Linked DNA regions of Struthio camelus. The protein of the gene in region 2 interacts with the protein of the main gene of each other region in a biochemical or structural test. Links are inferred from orthologs where the notes say so. Each region holds a gene or a part of one and is shown on either strand. Other genes may lie near its edges. The genes, in order: PARD6B, PRKCZ and YWHAZ.

Region 1 (3,745 bases), on a different chromosome or scaffold from region 2:
CCTCTGTACTAATTAGCGCTTGTCTTGGCTTGAGTGATAGTTGCAATTTCTTTGCCTTTGGCATGACGGCAGTAAGACTGGCTGTCCAAAACAGCACCGACTTGAAAGTGATTAAGCACTGCATGTTCTTAAAAACTACTGATTACCAACTGAGACTTGTGAACTGACTAGACACTCATACCCTGCCTTAACTGCAAAGGGCTGTTTGTCTGCACTCCCTTCACAGCATCCTACATAAAGCCTACATGAGGACGCCTCAAACTGAGTTCTTTTCTACTAGGTTTACAGATTAGGAAGCAATCTGTATTTAGAAGGTATGCTGACATAAGTAGGTTGATCCATGGGCCTTCTTCCTACTAACACATGTAAAATTGTACTAGTAAGGAGTCCTTTTTCTTCAGATTGTAAGGCGTAAACTAATGAGGTTTCTCAGTCCCCCTGCCAGAGTACTGAAGTAGGGGCTTTGAACTGAAGTAACTGCTCTATCTCGGGATTATACCAATATGCAAGGTTACATAAAACAGTCGTTCTGGTTCATATTGCCAGATGCTGAAATATTACTTGCAGTTGAAACAAAAACACGAACTCCAACTTCTCTATGGCACGAATGGACTTTACAGAGGTACCCAGAGGGTAAGAGTTCAAACTTTTGGACTGGTCTAGACATAGTTTAGGTAATCTACAGACAAATAATCTAACAGAGGCGCACTTCGCCTTAAGTGCCCAGAATCCGCCTCGACGCCCGCTGCCCCGCGGGCGCCCTGGCCGGCAGCCGGCGGCGCCGCGACGCTGAGGCGTCTGAGGGGACGGAGGGCCGCGCTCCAGCCGCCGCGGCCCCGCGCTGACACACCAGCGCAAAGGTCGCTCGGCCAGATCCCACACCTGAGAAGGCCTTAGGTCATTAGAGATAGGAGGAAAAAATAAATAAATAACCCCTCCCCACACTTCCTCATACGGACAGCGCCTCACCCTCGCGCGGGCGCCGTGCACGCGTCCTCCATTTTGGAACCCGGACCAAGCGGGCGCAGGTGCGCCACCCCGCTGCCCGGGTGGCGACTGCGCATGCTCGCCAGCGGCAGGTGCGCCGCCCCGCCCTCCCGCCGCCTGCGCCCCGCCCTGCCGCGCAGGCGCCGCGCGCTCTGAGCCGCCCCGCCCCCTGCCTGGCCGCCGGCTCGGCGGCGCGGCAGGTGCCCGCAGCCGCCGTGGCTCCGCCCCCTCCCCCTCCCCTCCCCCCCTCCCCCGGCGGCGCTGTGAGGGCGGCGGCAGGAGGTGGCGGAGCGGCCGCGGGGTGCCGGGGGCGGCTGGCGTCGGGCCCGCGCCGCTCGCCCTTCTGCCTCGCTGCCTTTCCCACCGCCCGCGCGGGGGCTGCGGCGAGAGAGCGGAGCCGGGACAGCGACCCCGCGGCGGCATGAACCGGCCTCACCGCGGCGCCGCGGGCAGCCGGGGCCTCGGCACCATGGAGGTGAAGAGTAAGGTGGGTCCGGCCGCGGCGGCGGCGGAGGGCCGCGTCCGCCGGCGGCGCCGGGGAGAGGGCCCGGCCCGGCCCTGCGGGGCCGCCGTGGAGGAGGGCGGCGGGGCCGCAGAGCTGCTGACTCACCTGCTGGCGGGGGCGACGGCCCGCGGCCGCTCGAGCGCTCCGGGCGGCGGCGGCGGCGTGTCTCTTCCCCCCCCCCCCCCCCCCCCCCGGCAGCCTGCCCGTCCCGGCCGCCCCCCCCCCCGCCCCGGGTCGCTGCCGTGCGGCTCCGGCGGTGGAAGTTTCCTTGTGGCACCGCTCACCGGGTGCGCTGTCTGCGGGGGGGGAAAACTAGTATTTTTATGTGTGTGGGGGGGTGTTTTTAATTTTCATTTAAAAAGCTTGTGGTTTTGGTCCCTTAGTTTCTGCGTTGGTTAAAATACCGTCTAGAGAAGTGGATGGTTTGGGAAAGTTTGGGGGATACCAGGGGACATGTTTTAGAGTCATGATTCATGAACTCCAAAACCTGTTCTTGGTCTAAATGAGGAAAGGAGTGGTTTTGGTTAACTTTAACTATGTGTTTACGTACCTTTCTTAAAGTGGGCTAGAGCTCGCTATATAGCTTGCATTACTTGGTGCAGGTAAGCCACAGCTAACTTATCTTAAACAAACTTGCTTTTCTTTGAAGACTTTCCAAGGTCTTCATAATGGCAATTTTTTAAATGAGCAAATATATCTGTATGTTACCGCTCATAGCAAAAGTTTTTTTTGTTGTCAAAGCTGTGCACAATTCCACCAACCATCTTCTATTGATGTATCCACATCCATTTTTTTTCTACTGTTTCTTCTTAATGCAGATTAGGCATAGTTTTGTTGGAAAAACTTTAAATTTTTGAGAGGCAGTACATTATCTTTTGATTTATATTTCTGATGTTTTGTTGGCTTGTCATTCAGCTGTTATCAATTGTAGGGGTGTTGGATCTGTGGTATTAGTTGGTGTGTCATTAGTTAAATGAACGCATGTAACTTGAGTTAAAAACACTTTCTCTTTGTCTAGGCAGACTGTAAGTGCACCTATACAGAAATGTGTTTTCCTCCATTGGTACAAAACATATCTGTTGTTCAGATTTTATAAGTGGTCTACAGTTTGCTGTTGGAGCGTTAGAGCTGCAGTATGTGCGTAGCAGACAGGACTGAAGTTGTTGTGTGGGCTTTTGTTGTTAAGGATAATGTGACTGTGCTGAAGTTTCTCCTGGAAAACAGCTAGGTTGCATAGGTAATAGTGATTTTTAGGAGAAAAAAAAAAAAGTGGACTTAACCTTTAAGTGGACAAAATCAAAACGCACAGGAATACCTGGTAGCCCTGATTCCAAATGGTAGCGAAGCACAGCTGTGGCTCTGATTGGCGAAATCTCTTTCATTTATGCACTTTTAAGGTTGAGAACAGCCAGAACAATGTGTTTATGAGCAAAGTACTTACTGCCTCAGCGCAGAACTCTAGGCCTGTTGGTTCCTCTGTCATGTATTTTGCTTGATTAAGAATGGGATGAAAGTTTCTAGGAATCAGCTGAGATGCATTCTTTGTTATTTGTGTAGAAAAATGTAGAGGTTCTAATGAATAGGGACTGTCTCTTAAGTGCATATCATAAAGTGAGTTCCAAGGCATTCCTAGAATTACTTGTCACTAATGGATTATTTAAAGTGCATTGATTTAATATACCGTAGACGTCATCTCCCTTTTATGAGAGTAAGAAGAATTCTGAGAGAGGAAGAAGAAAGGAGTGTGTGGGAGGTGAAGTGGAGCGTTACTGTGGAGTGGTCTAGGCTTTGAAGGCTTATCAGCGATGCACAGGTCTTGATTATTGATTTGGAGTATCTCAATAATGCCCCAACTGACAAACTATGCCAACATACCCCAATTGTATTTGCAGTTGTATGAGCAAAATCTTTTTGTTAGTCAATTTTATTCGATTTAGGTAACTGATCTGAACTTGCCTTGGGGAATCTCCATAATATATTTATTCCAGTTAACCCTTTCTCTAATCTTAGACAAGTAAGTTTTATACCCCAACCTAGAGTTTTTGGTGATGGTATGAAAGTCCCAACATAAACTTTTGTTATGGTTTTTGTCTTCTCTCTCTATGTTCTGTTTTAGAATTATGTTCTTTGCAGAATGAAATCTAATATGCTGATAAAAGAGGCCGTGTATGGTTGCTGTAGTTCATGTCCTATTACTATAGCAGTCTGCTGGAGGCTGCTGTCATAGTATGGTGGCAATATGATATGTTATGA
Region 2 (3,745 bases):
ACTGTTAAATCAAACCAACTGCTGCATTTTTTTGGAGTCACAGAAAACATCTAGATTGATGGGAATAAGTTTTGCTTCTGTACTCCTACTTAAACTAGTATTAAGCATTATTCATATTTTTGGAAGTTCATAGAGACACCAAACAAAGCATTAGCGCTATATTCGTACAAGCGCACACATTCCTATAACCCTCAAGGGAATTGTAAAAGCGCAAAATGGTGTCTAAAAGAAACTTGAGGTAGGTGTGTACAAGGTAATAGCAAGAGACTAAGGATCAGTCTTTTCTCATTTTCAAAATACAGATTATGACTGCTCAACTCGGAGTAGTCAAACCCAAACCACAGTGGTTGTGACACCCTGGCTTGGTTTATTGTTCAGAGTTCAGTGGACTAGTTACCTGAAGGAGATGCAAACAGCTAAGCAAAAGCTCCAAGGCAAGCCTTTTGTTTGGATAGCTTATTGGCTTGCCAAATTGGTTTAGGTATAGAAGAAAACTAACTGGCCATTTTAATTCTTAATTTCCACGAGGGGACTCTGTGAGTACAACTATCCCACACCTCTGTCCAAAGAACAGAGGAGACCACTGTGCTTAAGTCATAGCTGATTCATAGTTTTAAATCAACAGATCAAAGTAGCATTAGGAAAAAAAGCACTTTATAAAACTGAAATAGTGATGACATTGGACGTTTCACAGGCTTGCCCTTGTGAAAGCGTAGGTAAGTCAGCACCGTTACAACAACGTAGTCCATTGCTTTTTTTCCTCCCCTCCCGATGTGGCTACTCAGAAGAAGTCACGATATTGTTATTTTTATTGTTTCATTTCTTCTGTACCTATTTATTTCGACAGCAGTTTTCCTGCCTTTACAGTCCCGAATGAAGTCTTCTCGGTTTGGGTGGTATGATTACCCTTCCATGGAACTACACTCTTGTGAAAGGAAGCTTTCCCTCTAACTCCGGGCGGCAGCGCCGCTCCTTCCGGGCACCGCCGCTCGCCTCAGCACCGCCCCCGGCCCTGCCCCGAGGCGGCCCCGCGCTCCCTGCCCCCAGCCCGGCGCTGCCTAGCCCGAGGGGGCGCTGCCGCTCCTCCCGCAGCGAGCCAGCGCCTCCCGGCGAGCTGAAGCTAAGGGGGGGCCGGGCGAGGCCACACCGGAGAGCCAAGGGGCCTTCGGCAGTTTGGACGACCCACTACCTCTCTAGAGGGCTCCGAGGAGAGCAGAACCGTAGCTCTGTGCCCTCACAGCGCCGTAACGGTCGCGTCTGCTCCTCCTCTCGGGCCTGGGGCCTCCTCTCGCCACGGCGCTACCACATCTCCGAGCGCATAGGTGCTGCACGGGCACAGCAGGGCACCGAAACCCTCCAGGGACGGACTAGGGCTACGGCGGAGCGCCAGAGCGCGCCCGGCCGCTGTCGTGTGAGGACAGCCGCCCCCTCTGGCCCCGCCCCTCCCATCACACCTACCGCCCCACCCGCCGCGCCCACGGGAGCCGCGCACCCGCCGCTCGCTTCTCCGATTGGCTGCAGGCGCCCGCCTTCCGCTCCCTCTATGGCTTTTTATTGGCTGAGAGGCTCCTACTCTTCAGGTAACGGTTTCTAGCCTATGATTGGTCACGGGTGGGGAATATCCTTTTGGGGATTGGCTGCAGGTGAGCCGGAGTTTGCTATTGGCCGGCAGGTAGAGTGGGAGGGGCTCTATTGGTTGTGGGTGCTTCTTCGTCGGCCATGTTCGGAGTGGTGGCGCTGGTGCGGCTAGGGCTGGGAGGAGGAGGAGGAGGGCTGGGAGGAGGAGGGGGAGGAGGAGGAGGAGGAGGAGGGGGAGGGGGAGGGGGAGGAGGAGGGGGTTACTGAGGTGGGGAGCGGATGAGCAGCTACGGGGGAACCTGGGGCTCTTTCCGCAGCGTGCTGCTGCCGCCACGGTTCCCGGGGGACTCGCCTGCCCGGAGGGCAGCGGAGCCGGGGTCCGACCCGAAGTTCCTGGCGGGACTTTGAGCAACTTGGGGGCGGCGGGAGCGGAGAGCCGAGCTCTGCTGGGACGGGGCTGGAGAGGCAGGCCCGGAGGGCGGGCGTTGTCGGTGAGCTTTGCGGAGGTGATGGGGAAGGGGATCCTTGGGCACCCGGCCGCCGGGGAGGGACCTGCCTCGGCCGGAGCAGCAGAGTAGGTAGGAGGAAGGGGGAGCCCCAGAGGCGTCCCTTGGGCGCGGCGCGGCAGGGAGGGAGGGAGAGGCCTCGTCCGGGCGAAAGCGTCCCCTGCCTCTCGCTCCCCGCGCGCGTCGGGGCCGCGGCGTCGCCCCCGGGTCGGCGGGCGCCGGAGGAGCCCTGGGGAGGGCGGGAAGGGGCTGCGAGTGCCCTCAAACCCCAGCAGGGGAGGGAGCCCAAGTTCTGGCATCTTTCCATGGTCCGTGTGGCCCCGCTTCCCTAGAGAGCGGGCTTAGGGAGCTGTGTGAAAATATTTTCGAGTATGCCTGTATATGGGAGGGAGCAGAGAGAACCTCTGAAGAAGCAGGATATTTGCTTGAGAGTCCAGTTCTAAAGGCAACTTAGACAGCCCTTTGGAGTTCTTTCACTTTTCTTGAATAAATTTGTAATTAGCATGAATGAGTAACTGTCTTCCATGTATATGCAAATTACTTTGAATTGGAATTCTCTACTGTATGAAAGAAAAGAGCCAGAAGTAGTATGGATGAAGAAGTAGTTAATTCCTTTGAGTATTTCTGGCCAGGAAGGAACTACTGGATATTTTGTTAGAAAATATTGTCCTTTAAAAAAACCAAAATTTAAATGTTTTATACCAATTGTGCAAAAAAAAACCCAAAAAACAAACTGTCTTGAGTTCCGATCGTCTATAAATTGGAATGCTTATGCAATGCAGGGTAGTTTAAACTGATTTACTTCATTACTGTGCCAGACAAGTCTTATTGTATGTTTTCCTTTTGTTTTCTTTTGGCTTTATATGTAAAGCTACTTGAGTTTACAAAATCTGACACAACGCATTTGTTCAGTAGAGCGTGTGTATATTCATCTGTATTTTGATTTTTCTTTCTTTCAGCTGGATTGACTGTCGTCTGGAAAAGATGTGCATATATCACATCTGAAGTCTTTCACTTAAGAATTAAATGAATTATCTGCTCTTTCTATATAGTTACCATATAGTCATTCATTTAGACTGTTGAATTTAGACCATGCCTAGCAGAATGGGCTCAAAAGTTAATTTGAACAGAGACTTCATCAGGGTGAAAACACACTATAGCGGGTAAGTCCACATATTCCCTCCTGTGTATTGTGTCATACCTAATTTTGAAGCGTATCGAACAGGAGTCTATAGTCTCACTTAGTAGCAGAGTAACCAGGAAGCTGATGGATTTGAATGTAATGTCAGGACAAGTATATAAACTTCTAGGCTATTAAAATAAACATCCACAACAACTGCAGCACACTGAAACATTTTAAAAGAGTTGCTGTTTTATTCCTTAGTCTGGGTTGATGGGTTATTGCTTTCTGTTTTCTTGCAAGTGTTTTACGTTCACAGGCAGATAAGTTGTTCTGTTACATCCAGATACAGTTGTTATATTTTTATAATATAGAAATACATCTATTGTACTTTATTATATTTACTCATGTTGTGAGCTCTGAATCTGCAGATTACCACTGAAATTAGCAGGAGACTACTAAGTGCAGGTTTCCACTCACAGATGTCAGTTCATGACTGTGTGCTCCTTGGGACAGAATCTATGGTATTTAGTACGAGAGC
Region 3 (3,745 bases), on a different chromosome or scaffold from region 2:
CATTTTTGCGTTTTTCATTTTAATTGGAAAATCTCAGACCCCACAGCCAAGCGTGGAAAACACAGAGCTGAGGCGATGGGTCAGTCCCTGGGCGTGGTAAACGAAGAGCCCCGACACGCACCCGCCTCAACACTGCCGCCCCCTCCCTTCCGGGGCGAGGGGCCCCCACGCGAGCCCACCTCAACACTGCCGCCCCCTCCCTTCCGGGGCGAGGGGCCCCCACGCGAGCCCACCTCAACACTGCCATCCCCCCTCCGGGGCGAGGGGCCCCCACGCGAGCCCACCTCAACACTGCCATCCCCCCCCCGGGGCGAGGGGCCCCCACGCGAGCCCACCTCAACACTGCCATCCCCCCCCCGGGGCGAGGGGCCCCCACGCGAGCCCACCTCAACACTGCCGCCCCCCCCCCGGGGCGAGGGGCCCCCACGCGAGCCCACCTCAACACTGCCATCCCCCCCGGGGCGAGGGGCCCCCACGCGAGCCCACCTCAACACTGCCATCCCCCCCCGGGGCGAGGGGCCCCCACGCGAGCCCACCTCAACACTGCCATCCCCCCCCTGGGGCGAGGGGCCCCCACGCGAGCCCGCCTCAGCGCTGCCGCCCTCCCGCCCCGTTTCCACCCAGGCCCGGGACAGCTCCGCCGCCGCCCCCCGCCTCCGTGGCCTGCGGGCAGAGCCACCGCGACGGCGACCGCGGCCCCGCCGGGGGGCGGGCCTGCCCGGCCGGCCCTGCCCCAGCCGTGGCGGGGTGAGAGGCCCGGGCTGGCGGAGGGGCGGCGCCCCGGCCCGGCCCTGCGGCAGCGAGGACGAGCCCCCCTGACGGGCTCGCTCGGCCTCTGCAGTCACAGGGAGGGAAGGAGGAAGGCGCGCGCCCGCGGGAGGAGCCGCCGGTTTTAGGCGTGGCCGCCGCTCCCCCCCCCCCCGCGCGCCCCCGCGCGCGCCGCCGGCGCCCGCGGCGGTCGGCGAGGCCTCCGCCCTGTGCAGGGAGCGCCGGGGGAGGCGCGGGCTCGCGCCCGCGCCCTCGCCGTTGCCATGGCCCCGCTTGACGTCACGGGCGGTGCGCTGCCCGTGCGTTGCGGCGCGGTGATTGGCGGAGACCCCGTGTGTGGCGCTGGGAGAGAGGCTGCAGCGAAGCGAGCCGCGAGACAGGCACAGTCCGCGCCGGCCGTCCGCCCCGAGACACTCGCCGCGTCGCTGCCGCCTCGCACAGGTAACGGGGCCCGCGGCGCCGCGCGGCCCCGCCTCCCGGCTCCCGCCCCGGCTGGCGGCCCCGGGCCCCGACCCCCGCGCGCCGAGGGAGGCGAGGCGGCCGGGGGGCAGCGCGCAGACCTCCCCCGCCCCCTCCGCCGGCCTCGCCGGTGGCGGCAGGGCGGCTCCCGCCGGGGCTCCGCGGGGAGGGGGCGGGCGAGCCGGAGCGGAGCGAGGCGGCCGCCGCGGCCCGCGCAGGTGAGGCCGCGGCTGCCCCTCCCTGCCCGGCCTCGCCCGCGAGGGAAGGGGGAAGGGGGGAGCCGTTGGGGGCGGCGGGTGGCGGAGGGGGTGGCAGGTGAGGGCCGCAGGGGCGGTGTCCCGCCCTTGGCGGGCGGGGGCGACCGCGCCGCCGCGCCCGCGCGGGAAGGGGAGGGGGTGTAACGCCTCCGCGGGGCGGGGGCGGGAGCGCGGCCCGCAGTGCGCGGGCGGCTGTCGCTGGGTGCGGTCTCCCGCCGGGAGCGCTGCCCGGGCGCGGAAGAGCCGCAGCGGCCGCCCCTCCGTCGGGCTCGCTTCCCTTCTCTCCGCCCTGCCCTCCTTCCTCCCCCATTCCCCCCCCCCCCGGGCGCCTTCCTCCGCCTCCCCCCCGCCCCACCGCGGCCGAGGGGGTCTCGCCGGGGCGTGCGAGGCTGGCCGCAGCCCCGCGGGCGGTAACGGCGGCTCCCCCGGAGCGGGGGCCGCCTCCCCCCTCGTCCTCCTCTTGGCCACTGGGGCGGCGGGGCCGGGCCGGCGGGCTTCCCCTCGGCCGGTCGCTGTCGGGGCGGAGACGCTGCATCTTCCTCCTCCGCCGCCGCCCCCCGGCGTTGGGCGGAGGTGAGTGGGATTAACGCGCACTGAAGTGGGCTGGGCTCCGACGCCAGTCCGCCATGACAAAGGCGGCAGCGAGGCGCTCGGTGTCTCCGCGGCGGGCGGATGCGGCGCGGGGCGGGGCTGTCCCCGAGCGTGCCTCCGCGCGGGGGGCCGCCCGCCCGGCTGCCCGCAGCACCATTTTATGCTGTCATCCAGCGTGCCGAGCGGCATCCTCCGGTCCTCGCCGCGCTTCAGAGCGGTCGTCTTCACCCATCAGAACCAAGGGCCGCTTGGCTGCCCGGAAGGGATACTGCCGTACCCGTCTGCGGGCAATGGGTAGCCCGGTGGCCAGATAAACTGGCGTTCAGACAAACATTCAAACCACGTTTGCCTTAGTCGCACCGGGTGGTGAAACAACCGTAGCCAAAACCTTTCTTTAAAATGGCTCCTTAACCCACTACTTATAGTGTGGTCAGGACTTCGGCACATGTTAGCAAACACTGTGGAACAGCCACTGAATTGCTGTGTGCCAGCGTTGGGGAGAGCAGCTGCTAAAACTTTCTCCTTTCAGGTGTCTAGGATGTTAAAACGTGCTTTGTTTGTCCTTAAATAGGAGGTACTGCAGTTAGTGCTTGTGGTAACTTTATGTAAAATGACCAAAGTTAAGCTACTGAATTATTATGTGTGAGGTTGCTAGTTGGAATGTATAGAAATAATGTAGCATATATCACCAGAATTGGTTCTCGTCTTAATAATAAAACCTTAAAGGAGGGTGTATTTCAAAGCACATAGTAAGGACCTGAAAAATGACTGGATCAAGATACATGAAAACTTGGGGGGTGAGGTAGGATTATCATGTCTTGAGGTACAAAAAAATATGTCGGTTATCTTCGTTTGGCAGAGCTTGGTTTAAAGAGTCTGGATGTGATACAGGCTATAAAGTATCTCAGCCAGCTCATGCTGTCTCAAAAGCTGATGTTCAAGTAATATTTTAAATAGTGAAGTCTCCTTGGGTCTGTGAAAGCATACCTAACCTCTCAGACTGAGGAGCACTGCCTAGGTGAGAGGATTTAACCTATTACCGTTTTGGGAAAGGAAGCTAACGTTGTCAAAGGGTGTACTCCTTGAAACTGCTTGAATATTTAGGGAGCTCTGACTTCTCAGCCTCCAGTGTTGGGTTTGATTTGCAGATCCCTATGGCTAGTCTTTCTGCACATAAATATAAGGTCCTGTTAAGGCACAGAGTTGTCTCATACTGTTTGACTAGCCTGTATTTTGTCTGTTCCTATGTTGTCAATCTTATTACCTTGATAATTAGATGCAGCTGATGCTGCATCTTTACTGCACTCATATGAGAAAACTGAGTGATGGCAAAGGACTGGGATTGTGCGTATGCTTGAGATAGGAGTGATCTGCTTTCAGTTCACATTTGGATGCTTATATTTGTAAACATTTAAAATAATATTCCTTTAAAAGTTAACGTTTCCTTAGAAGGAGGCAGTGACTTGAAGTCTTCAGCTCATGTATTTGAGCATTGGAGCTTGCCTGCTTTGTGTTCTAGATTTTGGTTGTACATTTCACAATTTCAGACTTCTTGGAAAACGGTTGCTCTGCATATGACATTAAAACATCTTTGTCCTTGATAAATGTCTGAATAATACCTCCCTGTTTTTCCTCTGTAGAAAGATCAGCATGGATAAAAATGAGCTGGT

Evidence for each region.
Region 1: the proteins of PRKCZ (region 2) and PARD6B form a complex in vitro, tested with the Homo sapiens proteins (2 studies listed by BioGRID). The link is inferred for Struthio camelus from reciprocal best matches to the Homo sapiens genes PRKCZ and PARD6B.
Region 3: the proteins of PRKCZ (region 2) and YWHAZ form a complex in vitro, tested with the Homo sapiens proteins (2 studies listed by BioGRID, with this or other methods). The link is inferred for Struthio camelus from reciprocal best matches to the Homo sapiens genes PRKCZ and YWHAZ.

What each region holds. Positions count from the first base shown.
Region 1 is NC_090959.1:10,323,753-10,327,497, forward strand, and holds the start of PARD6B (partitioning defective 6 homolog beta), read left to right. Parts: upstream 1-1,241; 5' UTR 1,242-1,408; coding exon 1,409-1,474; intron 1,475-3,745. UniProt on the Homo sapiens protein: Adapter protein involved in asymmetrical cell division and cell polarization processes. Probably involved in formation of epithelial tight junctions.
Region 2 is NC_090962.1:2,922,035-2,925,779, reverse strand, and holds the start of PRKCZ (protein kinase C zeta type), read left to right. Parts: upstream 1-1,067; 5' UTR 1,068-1,580; intron 1,581-1,683; exon of another isoform or gene 1,684-2,156; intron 2,157-3,043; 5' UTR 3,044-3,176; coding exon 3,177-3,247; intron 3,248-3,745. UniProt on the Homo sapiens protein: Calcium- and diacylglycerol-independent serine/threonine-protein kinase that functions in phosphatidylinositol 3-kinase (PI3K) pathway and mitogen-activated protein (MAP) kinase cascade, and is involved in NF-kappa-B activation, mitogenic signaling, cell proliferation, cell polarity, inflammatory response and maintenance of long-term potentiation (LTP).
Region 3 is NC_090943.1:146,171,610-146,175,354, forward strand, and holds the start of YWHAZ (14-3-3 protein zeta/delta), read left to right. Parts: upstream 1-922; 5' UTR 923-1,209; intron 1,210-3,715; 5' UTR 3,716-3,725; coding exon 3,726-3,745.